2 linked regions of the Caenorhabditis elegans genome follow. Each later gene encodes a partner of the first gene's protein in a complex. Each region holds a gene or a part of one and is shown on either strand. Other genes may lie near its edges. The genes, in order: spcs-1 and spcs-2.

Region 1 (3,135 bases):
GATTCCAATAACAAAAATGGTTCCAAATCAAAAATATCAGGCAAAAACTGTAAAAGCATTTCCTCGGGGAGTACACGAGCTCCGTATATCAACACATGACTAGTTTTTCGGCGATTGTTCCATTTTTAAGTCAAGAAGAGATCCATTCAAAAACTACATACTCATCGTCTCTCTTCACAAAAACTCCAGCATACGGCTGTTTCAGTGAAAGCTGTCGCCTGATCAGTGCTTTTAAATTGTCATCTTTCACGATCTGAAATTTTAATTTTCAGTTTTCCGCCAAATACGTTATCTAATCTCACATCAACTTTCTTGATAAATCCTGGAAATAGTGGATATCGATTGATAGCTAACATTGGGACATTTGGCATATCGGCTGGCACTTGAATCGGTGACATTCCTCCCTGAAAATCAATTAAAATCGTCTTTTAATGACTGAAATTCTAAAAAACTTACCAAATCTTTGTACAGTTCCAATGAGTCATCCACAGCGATTGGATCGTCATGAGTGGAATAAAACCTCCTTTCTCCTGAATTTCCTGCTAATTCCATAGATTTCATCATTAAAATCGATTGATTTCTTTGAGAAAATGTGGCAAAGCTTTGATGTGCTGAAGCAGCGGCAAGAAGCCGCGTGCGAGTTGCCCCGCGGAGTAAAACCGCTCCAGCGCGGTACATTTCTGTTGAACGGGGAGTAGGATAGGAGGATTCAAGACTTCAGAATAAAAAAGTAAAATGTGTCGCATTAAAACGTCAATAAAATATTAAAATCGTTGTAGATTGAAAATGAATTTATTATGGTTCAGAAGATGATTCTTATATCACACAGAAAAATGAAGAAGAGCTCATAAATAATTTAATTTAAAATAAATATTTGACCAGATCCCGAGTAAAACGTTTTTCTTTAGTTTTTGCATCATTGCCGATTTATTTCGTCTTCTTTGTCTCCTTTTTCTTGTCTCCAGATTCTTGTGGTTCCGCAGGTGTGTGCCACTGAAAATTAAAACATTTTATACGATTTCTGTAACTTTTTCTCACCACAATCGGGTTCTTTCTGAAGAGGAATGGCCATGGTGGAAGAATGATGAGAGCTGTGAACGCAGATGCTCCCAGCACTGTGAACATGGCATATGAAAGCTGTTGAGTCCAGAATCCAACGAGGAAGCCAATAATTCCAGCAATAGTGAGGATTACCTAAATTTTATTGCTTTATTTTATGTAATTTCAGTCAATCAATTGTGGTTTGTTACCTGGTAAGTTCTCTCGGCGACTTTCTGTCCTTGAAAATCAATATGCGACGATAGTTTCTGCAGTGGAGCAGGGAGCATTGCAATCATTCCGTCCATGGTTAATTATGTAATAATTAAAAATCAAATTCAGTTATAAAAATACAAAAAGATTAAAGCAAAACGAATTCGGAATAATTTTGTTCCAACACTCCTTCATACAATGACGTAAAATAGAGATTTTCCATGGAGCGCACTTGCACATTTCATATTTTGAAGAACATTTGCAAATATTTGTGGATTGAAAACCAGAAATAAATCTTAAATAAGCTTAAATTGATATATTATTAAATTCAATAAACTTTATTCTAATCAGGAAACAAATAAATTTCACACAAAAGAAAAAAACATACAGCTCGAACACAATTATGTGAACAAAGAAGAACAAAACAACGAATTAATACGATCGGACCTTTGGTGGAACCCAGTCGGTTTCAGATTTATCGAGAGTTTTGTCGATAACTGGGCGGTATGTCAAATCAACAGCTCCAGTTTTCGTATCGATACCGATGATGGAATGCTTGCGCCAGTGCTGATCAAACGGTTTTTTCTGCTGTCCCTCAAGTGGATTGCTGTAGTCATATTCGTCAATTCTTTCTTGGAAATCATCACGAGCGTGGGCTCCACGAGATTCAGTGCGATTTTCGGCGGCGACGATGGTTTGATTGGCGTTGATAAGCAAATTCTGAAGCTCGAGAGTTTCGACAAGCTCCGAATTCCATACTTTTCCAGAGTCGGCACACGCCTTCAAATTTTGTTGCTCTTTGTAGATGGAGGACATTTTATCGACTCCTTCCTGAAAATATCCAATATTTTTTGAAAATAGAATAAATCTGTATTTACTTACCTTCAAAAGATCGCCCCGTCTGAAAACAGCAGCATGTTTCTGCATTGTCATTTGCATCTTTTGTCTTAATTCGATAGATGAAATATCTCCTTTTGAGTGCAAAAGTCCGTTCAAATTGTCACACGATTTCTCTTCACAATTTACCGGAAGCTCCGGGATTGAATCTCCTGGTTTGTTCTCATTAAGGATACTGAAATCTTTAGTTTAAACCTGTTCAGATAAATGAAACTAACGTGAGAGCGCAAGATCTTCCAAAGATAACCAAATCTAGAAGGGAATTTGCTCCGAGACGATTTGCTCCATGAACTGAATGTGCTGCACATTCACCAGCGGCATAGAGTCCTGGAATCACTTTATCTCCTCCTTCAGGTGTGAAATCGAGAACTTGTCCCTTGTAATTCGTAGGAACTCCTCCCATGTTGTAGTGAACAGTTGGAATGACTGGAATCGGCTCTTTGGTTACATCCACACCAGCAAAGATTTGAGCGGTTTCCGAGATTCCTGAAAGAAAATTATTAACAATTGAAAACACTAATATCACGTACCTGGCAATCGTTGTTGAAGCTGTTCAGCTGGAAGATGATGCAATTGAAGGTAAATATGATCTTTGTTTGGTCCGACTCCTCTTCCTTCATTAATTTCCATAGTCATGGCTCTTGAAACAACATCTCTTGACGCTAAATCCTTGGCATTCGGTGCATATCTTTCCATAAATCGTTCTCCTTGCGAATTGACCAAATATCCACCCTCTCCTCGTGATCCTTCGGTGATCAAACATCCAACTCCGTAGATTCCAGTTGGATGGAATTGAACAAACTCCATATCAGAATTACGAATACCTGCACGAGCGGTAAGAGCGGTTCCATCACCAGTACAAGTGTGAGCAGATGTACACGAGAAGTAAGCTCTTCCATAGCCTCCGGTGGCGAGGACAGTGTTCTTTGCGCGGAAACGATGAATCTGTCCAGTTTCAATGTCCAGTGCAACGACGCCAATGCATTT
Region 2 (3,253 bases), on another chromosome or scaffold:
ACTAAACAATTCATCCTTACATCGTAACTGTTTCAAGTGGGATTGGGGCGACTATTCTACGAAGCGGAGGGCATTATGTGTACTCACTGCTACTTTTATCGAACGAGGGACGAGGAAAAGCGGTTTCTAGGCCATGGCCGAGGGGCCGACAAGACTTAGCGGCAATTTATCTTGCTTTGTTTTCCGCGTGTTTTCTTTTGTTTTTCAAAAAAATTTTCCGTTTTTTCTTATTAAAACTAAATAAAAGATAAATAAATATTTTTGTAGATGCCAAAACAATTTCCAGGTGAAAAAATTGTGTATTCAGTCGGCAAGAAGCGGTGAAAGTGGTCAATGTTATATGATGGATTACGGTAATACTAAACCTAATCGTTTTTCTGAAACATGGCATTTATTCTGCTTAGAGACTGAAACTATTCGATTTTCATAACGAGACCGCTCAAAAAGTTCTGAGATTTTTGCACAAAAAGTTGAATTTTGAAAATCTCAAATCTTTTTCAGCGGTCTCGTTATGATGAAAATCGGGTAGTTTCAGTCTCTAAGCAGAATATATACCATGTTTCAGAAAAGGTTTAGATTTAGTATTCCCGTAATCCATCATATAACATTGAGCACTTTCACCGCTACTTGCCGACTGAATACATAATTTTTTCACTTGGAAATTGTTTTGGCATCTGCAAAAATATTTATTTATCTTTTATTTAGTTTTAATAAGAAAAAAACGGGAAAAGTCTATGAAAAATTAAAGAAAACACGCGGAAAACAAAGCAAGATAAATGGCCGCTGAAACTTGTCGGCCCCTCGGCCATGGGCTAGAAACCGCTTTTCCTCGTCCCTCGTTCGAAAAAAGTTGCAGTGGTACTAAACATTGGGCTACGTGCAATTTGCATGCATCTGTTTAACATATTCGAATTAACCAACCCCAAAGTGACATTAAAATAGTCGACGAGTCCACGCGCGGTGCAAATCAGAGCCAAATTCGTGATTTTTATATCAGCTTCCTCGTATTCGATGAGCAGATCATCGACCGTTCTCATTTGCTCATTACTGACCGGAATGGTTTTGATGTACTGAAAATGTTGGATTTGAAAATCGGAAAAAATGATATTTTAATTTTTTTTATGCTTACGTCCTCGATGATTTGATCAACTGAATACTCGTGTGGCACGATGTTTATGAAATAACGGCAGACAAGATCGTAGTCATCGATCAGGATCTTTCTCAGTGGCTTCGGAAGCTCGACCTTCATATCGTCGGCGGTCATAACCGGCGCAATTGTCACCGATTTCGCCTTTTTTCCCTTCGACGTCCCCGGAGTGTCATCACGATCGTCTCGTGGTGCTTCAGCCGCAAGACTTTTCTTCTTCGGCTTCAATGCAGTTGTTGGCAGCTCTGCGTTGTGTTTCTCTGCATACTCCGAGGCTGTTCCCTTGAAAATGCGGTCTTTCTCCTCGCCGACTGGGATTTTCTCATCGTATCGATTGTTCCAGCCCTTGAAGTGAACGCAGTAGAGTTCCTTGCCATCGCTGTTGGTTTTGATATCAGTAATTTTGGCATCGTATGGTTTGCCTTTGTAGATGCACGCGACGTTCTCGCCGACTTCGAAGTTCTTCTTTGAAGACATCTGAAGGAATTAAAGAAATTAATCGATTAATTGGTGTTTTAAGCGAGTTTTAGCAGCAATTCTAGCCAATGATGTATATTTGAACGATTTTTAATCAAAAAATAGATTAAAAATATCGAAAATTCGATAAATTTATCGATAAAAACAAAAAAAAAGCTTTTCTCAAAGCTCAACGGCATTTTCGCAATTCAAACCCCCCTGCGGCGCGGTTTTCTAAGCAAATGCAATAGCGCCGCGCACGAAAAAGTACGCAAACACCACGACGCAATAATGCAGACTTCCAATTTTGAGACGTCACCACTAGCTTTTTGCTCATTTCTTTTGGGTTTTTTTGGATTTCTATTCAATTTTTATTCTCAAATATATTAATTTTCAGATGACGGACGAGCCGGTGAAAGTTGTGAACAAATGGGACGGTCCAACAGTGAAGAATGCCCTTGATGAAGTCGTCAAAAAGGTTTGCTCTCCGAAACTCCAAAATTAAAATTAAAATTAAAATCTTTCGTTTCAGATTCTGAACGACAAAGTCGGATGGACGGAATCGCATAATCTAATGAATCTGCGTCTTCTCATCTCATTCATCGGCGTCGCGTTCTCCGCGTTCGCCTGCGGCTACGACTACTACGAGCCGTTCCCAAAGTCGAAAATCGTGCTCGCCGTGTGCTCGGTTTCCTACTTCATATGCATGGGAATTCTTCAAATGTATCAGTGGTACGTCGAGAAGGACTGCATCTACGAGGCCACCGAAGTCGACGGAAAACAATCGAGAAAATGGGCGTGGAGCTCGGAGATCAAGGCTCACGACGATAAGTACACGCTGTCGGCCGAGTTTAAGAAGGAAGGACGCTCTGGACAGGGAAAAATCACGAAATCTATCGGAGCTTATATCGATAACGATGGAGAGATCATCGTGCCACTTGTGAAGAAGGAGGTCGACGACTTGTACAACCGCTTGATTCGTAGCGAACAATAATTTATTTAATTTATCTGGTTTTCTTGGCCTAATTTATTTCCCCTTTTCTTCGCTTTTCATGGGTGCCCCTTTCTCTCTCCATCTATCCTGTTTCTTGTCTGTCAAAAGCTAATATTTCCAGCATTTTATACAATATGAACTTGTCAATTTCGGTAAGAATTCATTGTACAAATAGCTTGAAAAGAACAATTAACAAACACAAAATTTTAGCAATTTAACAATTTATTAGCAGATCCCATCTACTTCTTCATCTCGAGCATCTCTGCGTACTTCGCGGCCGAGCCCTTGAACAATCGACCCTGCTCCTCGCCGACTGGAATTTTCTCATCGTAACGGCTGTTCCATCCTTTGAAGTGAACGCAGTAAAAATCCTTCCCATCAGTGTCGGTTATGATGTCAACGATGTACGCGTCATATGGCTTTCCGTTCTGTGTGCACGTGACTTGCTCACCGATTATGAATTGTTCTCTACGTTTTCCGACTAGCCGCGGAGCGTTCTCTTTCGTCGCTTGAGGCTCTGTGGATTTTTCATGGTTTCTAGCGGACTGAAAATGCAAAATTTATTATTTAAAGCTTCAATATTCTCTGAGCAGTACCTTGCGCATTGTGACAACTGGAGCTCGGTAACCATCTGCTATCCCTTTAAAAATACGGTC

The links.
Region 2: spcs-1 (region 1) and spcs-2 share a complex: the UniProt entries of both Caenorhabditis elegans proteins name them as parts of the signal peptidase complex.

What each region holds. Positions count from the first base shown.
Region 1 is NC_003279.8:10,681,695-10,684,829, forward strand, and holds spcs-1 (Signal peptidase complex subunit 1), read right to left. Parts: upstream 1,355-3,135; 5' UTR 1,347-1,354; coding exon 1,251-1,346; intron 1,195-1,250; coding exon 1,039-1,194; intron 994-1,038; coding exon 928-993; 3' UTR 778-927; downstream 1-777. Other genes in the region: lonp-1 (Lon protease homolog, mitochondrial), read right to left, coding at 162-253, 303-404, 457-678; sdha-2 (Succinate dehydrogenase [ubiquinone] flavoprotein subunit, mitochondrial), read right to left, coding at 1,684-2,082, 2,134-2,323, 2,367-2,634, 2,679-3,135. UniProt on the Caenorhabditis elegans protein: Component of the signal peptidase complex (SPC) which catalyzes the cleavage of N-terminal signal sequences from nascent proteins as they are translocated into the lumen of the endoplasmic reticulum. Dispensable for SPC enzymatic activity.
Region 2 is NC_003281.10:12,873,031-12,876,283, forward strand, and holds spcs-2 (Signal peptidase complex subunit 2), read left to right. Parts: upstream 1-2,000; coding exon 2,001-2,081; intron 2,082-2,135; coding exon 2,136-2,597; 3' UTR 2,598-2,753; downstream 2,754-3,253. Other genes in the region: mrg-1 (Mortality factor related protein 1), read right to left, coding at 1-1, 922-1,070, 1,130-1,624; cec-7 (Chromo domain-containing protein), read right to left, coding at 2,837-3,142, 3,194-3,253. UniProt on the Caenorhabditis elegans protein: Component of the signal peptidase complex (SPC) which catalyzes the cleavage of N-terminal signal sequences from nascent proteins as they are translocated into the lumen of the endoplasmic reticulum.